2 linked regions of the Styela clava genome follow. The main gene of each other region encodes a partner of the protein of the gene in region 2 in a complex. Links are inferred from orthologs where the notes say so. Each region holds a gene or a part of one and is shown on either strand. Other genes may lie near its edges.

Region 1 (5,189 bases), on a different chromosome or scaffold from region 2:
TATTTAAGCATTAAACTATAACTGAATTAAATTGAAAAAATTTTTTGTTCATGATAACTCTCCTAAACACTCCTATTTTTTATAATTCGATTGAAATTTTTTTACCATCAGTTGTATAGCAAGAAAACAAAACAGAGTCCAGTCAAAGTCTTGTATTTTAAAACAAGATTCACAGTGCTGTATTCACAGCAAAATGAATAGCTATGCTTATGTATCAGTGTACACTAAAAAAATTAGTAGCAGTCTCCTCAATTGAATCAGAACTCATTATTACATTAATAGAATTAGGATATGATTTCAATATTTTACTCAGCAAGAGGAAAGTCTATAATACATCTTAATATAACCACTCTCTCATTTAGGTTCCAATCTATGTTGGGATTTGGGAATGAAAATAGTCAACCAATTATTCATTCCCGATGCATGAACTTGACACATCGATAAAAATAAACACAGTATAACTGCAACAGCATCTTATCTTTCCCCGCACTCATCATAAATTTTCCAGTCTGTGGCATCCAGACACACATTTTCATATGCATTATTATTGAATCTCTACGAATCTTCCTTTTCTAATGATCCACATTTCAAGCAATAATAAAATATGGTCATTCCTTCATCTGCTGATCGAGTTTGTTGAGTTTTGTATGTCATTTCATTATGCCCGCAATGTCCACATAGTCTTTCTAACTTAGGACCAGAAGATTTGTCATCCCTTGCCTTTTTCTTTGTAGATTTGCCTCTAATTTCATTTAGTATTATATCAGCTTTAGCTACAATCATATTATTAAACTCTGAACATGGAATTCTTGACTTACAGATGCAAGTAATGTATGATTGCATAGAATCAACAGGCAGTGGTAAAATGGCTCCACATTTTGAACAAAAACCATCTTCTGTTGTCATACATTTATTCATATTTTTCTAATTACAGAACAGAGCTAAATACCTGTATAAAAACATTGTTGAAATTTCGCATTAAGGATGCGAGACTGAGAGGCAGTAGGGAGGATGGTTATGAGTTAGCCACCATGCAGCCATGGCGAGTTGCCCTCCACTCGTAAGGATTATTTATGCTAACATTTATGCCATGGTTGGGAAAATTGTAAACTGCATACAACCAATACTGCAATAGCAAATTTTGTTGTGCCCTCGTAAGACCCGATGGACTGGTAACCGAACGAGAGGCGGTGGTTCGCCATATGATTAAGTCGTTTTATCGGCTTTCCTCTCCCTCGGGATAAATATGTAAATCATATCCTATCCTTTAAAGTGGCAAGTGGCAACATGAAACATTTCAGGGACTCAAGTAACCCCCATGAATATACAAAAAAAAGCAAACCTAATTCTGGAAAGACGAAATAATCTTTAAAGTGTAGCAAGTGGCAAACTCAATAAGTGTGGGTCTCATGTACTTTCTTACCTGAATAACTTCTAGTGGGCGTGGCGTAACAATTTTTGGATATATGATTCCTGACCCCTATCTGATGACGTCATCCAAAAATTACGTCACTGCGACGTCACAATAACGAAATACAGCTTGCCAAAGTATAGCGACGGTCACCCGTGATGGCGCCTACGAGTATGTCAACAAACTCAATACGTCAGCGACCTCTCTCTTATCGGGGTCGTTGTACAGAGCTCAAAATAAACACAAGAATCACAAGCGACTAAATTGTCGCCGAGGAACGTTCACGATATCCCATTCTGACCAATTTCTATCCATCAATAGCTCATGTATCGTGCTACAATCTAAAATAGAGCGTTATACCATACAACTCTAACCAAGGCTTTAGACAAGCAGAAAATACATGTTATTTTACGCGATGGTTGAAGTTGGGTACCACACACATAAAGACTTATTATTTTATGTCCAGCAATAGCTCATGTATTGTGCTACGATCTATTAATAGGGTGATATACGATACCGCTCTGAGCTAGGCTTTAGACAAACAGAAAGAACATTTAATTCACGCAATGATTGAGGTTAGGTGCCGCAGACATAAAGACTTGTTATTTAATATCCAGAGACTGATCATGTATTGGGCCACATTTTATTAATAGGACGTGGAACGCTTTCACTCTATGCAAGGCTTTAGACAAGCAGAAACCGACACATTAATTTGCCTTAGCGCAATGAATGTAGTTTCTTACCTCGATAACTCATACTTATCTTAGCGTAACAATTTTTGCATATATCATTCCTGACCCTCACCTGACTTCGTCATCCAAAAATTACGTCAATGCGATGTCACAATAACGAAATCGAGCTTGCCCAATAATAGCGACCATAATGCAATCGTGATAAATACGCCTGTGTGTCCGCTATGGATGTAGTTTCTTACCTCAATAACTTATACTTATCTTAGCGTAACAATTATTGCATATAATAGTCCTGACCCTCACCTGACTTCATGTTCCAAAAATTACGTCAATGCGACTTCACAATAACGAAATAGTGCTTGCCTAATAATAGCGACCATAATGCAATCGTGATAAATACGCCTGTGTGTCCGCTATGGATGTAGTTTCTTACCTCAATAACTTATACTTATCTTAGCGTAACAATTATTGCATATAATAGTCCTGACCTTCACCTGACTTCGTCATCCAAAAATTACGTCACGGCAACGTCACAATAACGAAATAGAGCTTGCTCAATAATAGCGACGATTACTATTAATGCCACCTATGGATGTAGTTTCTTACCTCAATAACTTATACTTATCTTAGCGTACCAATTATTGCATATATTATTCCTGACCCTCACCTAACTTCATGTTCCAAAAATTACGTCAATGCGACTTCACAATAACGAAATAGAGCTTGCCTAATAATAGCGACCATAATGCAATCGTGATAAATACGTCTGTGTGTCCGCTATGGATGTAGTTTCTTACCTCAATAACTTCTAGTTAACTTAGCGTAACAATTTTTGCATATAATATTCATGACCTTCACCTGACTTCGTCATCCAAAAATTACGTCACTGCAACGTCACAATAACGAAATAGAGCTTGCTCAATAATAGCGACGATTACTATTTATGCCACCTATGGATGTAGTTTCTTACCTCAATGACTTATACTTATCTTAGCGTAACAATTATTGCATATATCATTCCTGACCTTGCCCTGACTTCGTCATCTAAAAATTACGTCAATGCGAATTCACAATAACGAAATAGAGCTTGCCTAATAATAGCGACCATAATGCAATCGTGTTAAATACGCCTGTCTGTTCGCTATGGGTGTAGTTTCATACCTCAATACCTTCTATTAGGCTTAGCGTAACAATTTTCGCATATAATATTCATGACCTTCACCTGACTTCGTCATCAAAAAATTACGCCAATGCGACGTCACAGTAACAAAATAGAGCTGATCACCCGTAATGGCGTCTGCGACTACGTTAACAAACTCAGCGAGGGCAGCGGCCTCCCTACCACACACACATAAGGAGGGACTTGTTATTTTATGTCCAGCCATAGATCATGTATTGGGCTACAATATATTAATATGACGTTACGCGATATCACTCTAAGCAGGGCTTCAGACAAGCAGAAACGGACATATTAATTTACGTGCACATTATATGGGTGTATTTTGCCACCATTTATCAGTGAGGTTTATATTTTAATTTGTTTTTTGTAAACTATACATTTTGGATAAGATAGTCCGGCAGAATCGGGCCTTAACATTGTTTTGGAACATAAAGTTTTTTTTTATTGTTTAGATATAATGTATATGACATATATAATGATACCCAGGTGGGTGTGGAGTAATCTTGAGCAATTTTTTTTTATAGGTGGATTTAAAGTATTCGGTCCAAGATGACGCACATTCTGAACCCTAACCTGGTAACCATACAGTGTTCAGGTTGTGCGCCATCTTGGTACAAATACTTCAAGAGCGCCTTTTTGTTAAAAACAATTATTTCATAACTACATGGTTTAGGTTTGCATACATAGTAACATTGAATCTCCTTACAATGTCAGAAATTCAATTTTAGTAGAATAAATGGTAGTTTATTTCACTAATACAAACCAAGATCCATCGACAGCATCTATCCACTTTCTATTGCGCTCTTCAAACTACATCTGGCATTTCGTTTTCCTAGTTTAAGCTTAGGGACTTGGGAAATATTTTATTAGTTGAATTGGATTGGAATATTTGACCTCGTCTTTCACTCCGAACAAGGCCATGTAATACCATCCACTGGTATCTAAAGATGTGTAACGTGTTTTCTTTTGGAAGAACCGCAACTTTTCAGTGCTGCATTGACTTTGGCAAAATTAATATATCCTTGTGGAGATAGAAGGTATGCGTATGCGAAACCGAGATGTGCACCTGTTATGCCAACATAGTTGAGTCAAACGTTTTGAATACTAGTACATCACACGCATATTCCTGCGTGCTTCGGTTATACGTGGTAACGAGCACATTTTTGCGCACATGCATCAAATTCCATTTGATTATTGAGCTATAGGTTTTTGACGAGCTTTTGTGTATGATTTCATTCCATAGAATTTGTATGCTGTTCTAAAGAATACTAGTTTCAGCTTTTTCATTCATTCAAACCGCGTGTTGGAAGTAAGTTTTGTAATATTGCGGGTTGGTTTCCAACATCCTTAAATCGGTGATGCCAGTAAATCTTTAATACAAAAAGATCCGTAACATCTGCAATAAAAACAGCAGTACCCACTCAAATGACAGCTGGGGGATGGATACTCTTAGTATCTGCTCCATCGCGTGCCTCTTACAGTCTTACCAGTTTACATGAGTGCCAATTGGTATCTAAGCTCAGCCAGAGACAAAAAGTTTCGGACTGCAGTTGGCGTGACGAAATGTTTTTAAATATATATTCTACAATAAGATTATTTGATTGCATACTACTGAAAGTTTCGCCTTATATGTCTTTTCCCTTTGCACTATTCCTTTACTGATATTCGATAATATGACGCTCATCTGACATAGTTCTTAAAGTGTGTAGATGGGTACAATCTTTTTCACGCTGTTCAGCTGGGAATGCGCGAATATATATAAGAATTGCTAATATTGGTTTATAATGCGATGAAATCCCATCTTAGCATTTCTGCCTCTCGCAATTGCTGCGTATACTTATCGGGGAAGTTCTGTGGCGTGGTTATCAAATAAAAAAAAACATGGAAGTATTTTTTCTACTTCTCT
Region 2 (6,447 bases):
TTTAGGTTTGGATTCCATCACAAACGATCAATTTTGGAATCGTGCCTTTTCAATACAGGTGGGTTTAGTCAGTACTCAGTAATGAATATTTTTTGAAAGCTGCAGCGTTTAAGATTTCTGGCAGAGTTAATTTACTGGAGCGGCTGTGCGACAGTTCATAGCCGCTCCAGTAAATTAAGCATATAAAATTTGTAGCAAAATAAGGGAATTGAGCATAATGAATAATGATATATTAATTATTTGTTCAGAATGCTCTTCTGCCAAATAGTCGCATTGTTCTGGAATTCCTATTTGAGCAACAGAGCTAATCGCACAATTCATAAAGATGTCTATGTGGCTGATGGCAGAGAGAAGAAAGCATGCTGATTTTTTACTGTTGACGAATTGCTCATTGGCTAGAAACATTAGGAGGCCAAGAAAGTATCAGGATGATGAGACCAAGCTGCGAGTACTGCCTATAGTATTATGTATGTGCTGCTGTGCAAACGCAATACCCAAAGCCAGAAGTTAAATATTATTATTTCCTACTTTGCTTCAGAATAAAATTGAGATAGTTAAACCGTCGCAAGTTTTTTTCTCCACTTGGAAATAGGGGAGCTGCTGTTTAGTAACCTTTACACAAAACTGATCGATTTGTTCTTGATGTTACATCTTGAGAAAACAAAGCAGCTTCATCAGTCCTGACTGTTGTAACTATGTATCGCCAGTCAAGATGATAGTTCTTTGTCCTTGAATTACCAACGAATCGCTCGCTACAGTCTTGATCAGAATGCCAATTTCTTTATTAATAAATAAACATTCTGATCAACAGTCATGCCGTGTAAATTGTTTGCATCTCCTTGCAGTCTCATAAGAAGGCCACCGAATGACACATAAGCCGAAAGTCTGGATGCAACTTCGCTGCCAGTGTCATCCCCCTCTATCCTGTATGCCTAAAAATTTATTGGGATTTAATATATATTAAAGAATTAAAAACACATATGAATAATACCATGTTTGATTAGAAACTAATCTTCATAACATTATTTTTAAGGATGAAATATCGTTGAATTTACTGAATCAATTTAATCAGTAAGCAGCATAAATTCCCAACTAAACACAGCTGTCTGATTCGAAGAGTCTTGCTGCACACTAACACTAATCCTATGTGTAGTGTGCAGCAAAACTCTTGAATCAAATAGAATAGTCATCTTTTAATTTTGCTACAGCACCCTTGCATTCTACAAACACAAAGGATTGGTAGGTAATTTTGTGAAACACAAAGTGATGGTTGAGTTTACGGCGTCTATAGCTAAAATACTATTATATGTGTACGTGTACAAACGCTAATTGAATATCCAACCACCAGCAGTGCTTGCATGGTGATTCATATTTTTCCAATAGAATGATGTTCTACATATGTCACAACAAAAACAAATGATCCACTAATCATCATTGTTAACAGTACTACACAACAATATAAGTATCATTTACCCGCATGGGAACCTGAAAAATAATTAAGAAAGTTTACCTTTCCATACATGACATATTCAAACTGATCTGCACGGGTGGGTTGCTGATCCCACAATGGGTTGAATTCTCCATCATCTGGTGCCCCATCTTCATGTAAAGTTGTTGCAAGAACAAGTCGAAACTTATCTCCAAGTTCCATTGGATAAACCTGAACATTTAAATCTTGTGAAGATTCTGAGATTACAGACATGCATTTTTGTGTAGTTCGAAATTTTTTTAAGTCGAGTGTTGGAAATAAATGAGTCAATAATTTACTCGAGCACTCTGAAAATTAACGACTCGAACTCGCCCAAATGTTTTTGGCCTCTCGCCTTGAAGTATCATAAGTTGAAAAATCCGATAACGAACTCGCTAAAGTACGATCTCTCTCCTATCGTGATCGTTGTGACAAGAAAACGAGAGAAATAGCTTGCTCGATTTCGGGTGATTGTCTGCGCGTTTTGGGCGACCATCCGCATACTTTGGTGGGCCTTATTACGCCACTGTGACGTAGTCAGGTGAGGGTTAGGATCGACATATGCAAAAATTGTTAAGCCAGGCCAACTAGAAGTGCATGTGGTACTAAACTATACGGTACCGTACCAGACCATATTAATGTATTTAATAATTTCATAGCGAAAAAGCAAATTAGCTACGAATGCTGTTTAAAAGAGCTGCTATGACTAGACTGCTACAGACACAAGCCGATTTTAGTTATTTCAGCCACAGTCCTGCATCCAGGCATTCCTTACTGTAAATCAAGACCCACCTGTGTGTTTACATCCAAAATCAAGTCCATTTTGAAAGATTCACTGTCACAGTGAAGTCGAGAAACACGATCAAATTTTTTTCCCTCGGGGTCAACATCTTTCACATCAAAAATATCTTCGAATAGCACTCCAGCCATTTCGAAACGACCACACGAACTAAAACGCAAGACGATACACAGAAACCCAGAAATGCAGAACAGCCAGGCCCGACATAAACGCACGCGAGTACCAAACAATTTATTGAAAAATTTTCCTACACGGATATATCGGTTCCCATCTGTTAAAATTAGAATCGCATATATTCCGGAAGAGGATAGGATTTACATGTTTATTCCGGGGGAGAGGAAAGCCGATAAGACGGCTTAATCATATGGCGAACCACGGCCTCTCGTCCGGTTACCAGTTCAGGTCAGGGACTCTTATAGCGTGTATAGCCCAGTGTAGTAGTATTAGGTAATAAGTAAAAACTAATTATTGTAAATACATGAAAGCACAGATAAATAAAATATACTATCGTGCAACAAAGTATAGTTGATAGAATTAATGAAAAGCGGGTCCTACCGCCATGACGATTTCAGTCATAAGCTGTTTTAGAGGGGTTTCACAACCTTTATTCATAATTTGTTCAAGAAGATAAGAGGACTCCTCGAAGTAGCAAGAACAAGTTAAATAGCAACAGAGAGGCAGTGATTATCCAATCTCCATATAATTGAGCTGCCCCAAATACTTATTTCCTCATTGGGGACGAGACTATTACACAAGCGGGCGCAATAGTGTTCATAACACCCAAGTTAATAAGCCAATCATCAAGCCGGATTTGTAATCTCATCAATGCTCATTTCAAATACATACAAGTGTCTCGCGATGTAACAATTATAAGCATTGAAGACCTAATAAAATGTCTATCAATTCTTGTGTCTCATCAGACAAATAGTGTCCACACAATATAATACATCTGGTGGTAATTTGTATTTAAACTCCGATACCAGTCATTCCACTGGGGGTTGAGACCTTACTGCCCGTCAAATCAAAAAACATTTCATGAAAATTCTTAAGTTATGCCACACAGCACCAAATATAAGATTTACACATTCACGCCGAGTAGAGAAGATAACACGACTTAAACATATGGTGTGATACAGCCTCTCGTCCATGTCGGTATAGAATCATTTAGCCAGTTACTTGTTTCAGATGTAGTGGCTTGATGGTGAATGGAGCCATAGCCTATCAGTGGTTACGTGAACCACCCTTCGGCGGTAAGGAGTTCAGCAATCCTCTCGCACATAATTATCCCCCACAGGATTCGAACCCAAGGAGTGTAATCTGGGGTGCTGTAGCATAATTCTAACAATTAGGACGATATGCCAACCCAACTAAATGTGACCAGTGCTGACCATACTTCAACATTCAAATCGTGTATTGCTTGAGATTACGACTAGAGTTATAATATACTCATTTTCCTAAAATTATTCATATGTCTAAGTGTTAGACTATATTTATATTGTGAATTTTTGTACATAATTTGTTTTGTTGAGTTACTATTCCTGGATGACTAACTTTAAGTTGCACATCGTTCCAGTCATTTTCCGATGATATTTATTTGGATCTTAATTCAGCCAACAATATTAAGTTATTGTTCTTAATGAAACAAATTATCACATTTACAAATGAACATTATACTAATAAATTAACTGTTTTTCATTATTTTATCATCATATCCATAAAGTAGCAATCAGGTTCAGGAGCAATAGTAGCATGCGTTGTGAAAAACGACTTTAGATCCAGTGACATTATTAACAAGGCATGATTCAGCATCAAGGACAAAAATGTACACCTTTCCATAGATCATTTATCTCCAGCCACTAAAAGAAGGGCTTTTTCTGAAATGAAGAAACATGATTGTTTATACACAGCCCCACAAATACTGTCTTTAAGACTTCTTTACAGTCATGGCATGGTCGTTATCAACCATTTCAAACAAAAAAATTTATAGGTGAAGCTGTGAAAAAACACATCACTATTAGGTAGCAAATACTGATTTTAATAAAAAAATTTCTTTAGAAACGTAAGTATCCTTTGCAAGTGGTCATTAAACATTTTCCATACTGTAGTTGTGCAATTTTTGTCCACGATAGATTACAAAAAAAAAAAACACTGGGGGAACAAGACTTATGGCAAACTTTTATGTGTGTGCAATGCACTGATAGAGTTTCTATTTATTATTTTATTCCTTACAGACTGCATAATTATAAATCCATCTTACTGTGTGTTCGATCCAAACCCACCAAAGCTACTTGGCTGCTGTTGCTGTGGACTTCCAAATCCTCCAGATTGATTCGCAAGATTACCAAAACCAGGTGTTTCACTACTGGCAAAGCTAAAAAAAGAGTTTGAGTATTTGTAAAAAAAACACAATATGACAAAACTAGCTTACAAGTTATTAACCATTGTAGAAGTTATCTTCATGGACTGGTGAAAAATTGGTCATAATAGTTTATTTAGTTTTTGCCATTCATGGATCTGTATGGCCAAAAGGGAATTAAGTGTCATTTATCATCTGTAATATAATATGTATTGAGCACTGCCACATATAAGAACTGTGCTTCACAAATTTGACTGGTAGTAGAGACTAGAGAATCATCTTCAATGCCCTTTACTTACGATGAAAAACCACCACTGGCAGTTTGTCCAAAAGCTCCACCAGTTGAAGCAGGCTGTGAACCGAATCCACCTCCAAATGTGCTTCCACCAGAGGTAGAACCAAAAGCTGGAGGAGAACCAAATGTAGCAGAAGATCCAAAAGCAGGAGCAGCTCCAAAACCTAAAAGTATTAGCAATAATGTTAAGTGCATCCAGGATATAACAAGCAGCAGCAATGGAATAAAAGTAATAGGACAAGCTGTCAGAATTTCTCATCATTGGCTACCTCAACTATTCAGTGTTAATCTCAGAAAATTTCATGTCAACTATATTGTATAGATCTACTTATTCCTTAAAGTTGATCGATTTCTAAATGTGTATATAATTATTATTTCCAGGGGCGCAGCCAGCGGTTTTACATGGGTGTAACCCTCTCTGTTTGAGAAAAAATTTGATGTGAATTTCATCTACAAAAAAGCAAAGGCTTAGTTTTACGATCGCTCGTCATGGTTTCGCGGTCCAAGCGATATTATTCTGCGCGTTATCACCATAATGCAATTAACATCTACAGACTTATTCCGTCTACAAGACATGTTATCTTTTTTAGTTAGCGCTGATAAGAATAATTAGGAATTTGTAATTGTTGATTGCAAATCCGGAAGGCATATTTTCCCTTCTCTCCATGAAACAGACATGAAACAATTTAACCGCCGTTATGGGCGCTTAAAAGAAGAGAAGGGTCATAAGCTAATTTAAGGACTTTCTCTTCCCAACTAAATCACTTTTATTTTAATACAAAGCACAGCGCATTAAAAAGCAAAATAGAATTTATTAACAATAATTTACAACGAGTTACGGGTAAGAATTTACCGATGGCTATCGCTAACTGGTAGAAACGATAAATGTGAAAAAAAATTTTCCTTGCCTCTTTGCGTCATATTTTTCAATTCCTAATTTTGCATAAAGCGTGTGAACACCGTTTTTGTGAATTTAGAAATGTCGAACCAGATAAGTAGGACAGGTAAATAATGTATTTTATGAAAATTTCTCGAGATATTGGGAAGAAATATATATCATTTTGACCATGTAGAAATTCCATTATTGCCGATTTATTCATGTGTTTAGTATCAGTGATTTAACCCAAAGCTGAGTTACGTAAATACTCAACACTGAGTATTCAAGAGATTACCAATTTGCAGAGCTATTAGTTATTATTCAATACGAAAGTAACACGAACGCAATCTAAAATTAAAAGCATAAAAATGTCAACTATCCGCTTCACAAATATCGCCTCCCGGGGTCAGTAATGATAATATTGTTCGTTTAAAATTGGGACCGTGATACAACTCCTACACAGAAGATAAAAATGAGAATAAAATTGATTTGTGTTGTGAATGCACTCCCTAATATTTGTCTCTAACATCTCCGCCGATGTGAACTCGCAATTCTGTCCGAAATATAAAAACCAAACTACGATATCCGCCGTTGCATGAGAATTAATACTTGAATAAAAAAGTGCTTTAATATAACTTAACAACATTAATTG

What was found.
Region 1: DNA-directed RNA polymerases I, II, and III subunit RPABC3-like (region 2) and DNA-directed RNA polymerase I subunit RPA12-like share a complex: the UniProt entries of both Homo sapiens proteins name them as parts of the pol I pre-initiation complex. The link is inferred for Styela clava from reciprocal best matches to the Homo sapiens genes POLR2H and POLR1H.

What each region holds. Positions count from the first base shown.
Region 1 is NC_135256.1:9,246,925-9,252,113, reverse strand, and holds DNA-directed RNA polymerase I subunit RPA12-like, read right to left. Parts: upstream 919-5,189; coding exon 556-918; downstream 1-555. UniProt on the Homo sapiens protein: Core component of RNA polymerase I (Pol I), a DNA-dependent RNA polymerase which synthesizes ribosomal RNA precursors using the four ribonucleoside triphosphates as substrates. Can mediate Pol I proofreading of the nascent RNA transcript.
Region 2 is NC_135255.1:11,093,718-11,100,164, reverse strand, and holds DNA-directed RNA polymerases I, II, and III subunit RPABC3-like, read right to left. Parts: upstream 2,502-6,447; 5' UTR 2,399-2,501; coding exon 2,261-2,398; intron 1,661-2,260; coding exon 1,511-1,660; intron 933-1,510; coding exon 765-932; 3' UTR 501-764; downstream 1-500. Other genes in the region: mitochondrial inner membrane protein Mpv17-like, read left to right, coding at 6-58, 249-366; nuclear pore complex protein Nup214-like, read right to left, coding at 4,111-4,141, 4,525-4,638, 4,923-5,082. UniProt on the Homo sapiens protein: DNA-dependent RNA polymerase catalyzes the transcription of DNA into RNA using the four ribonucleoside triphosphates as substrates.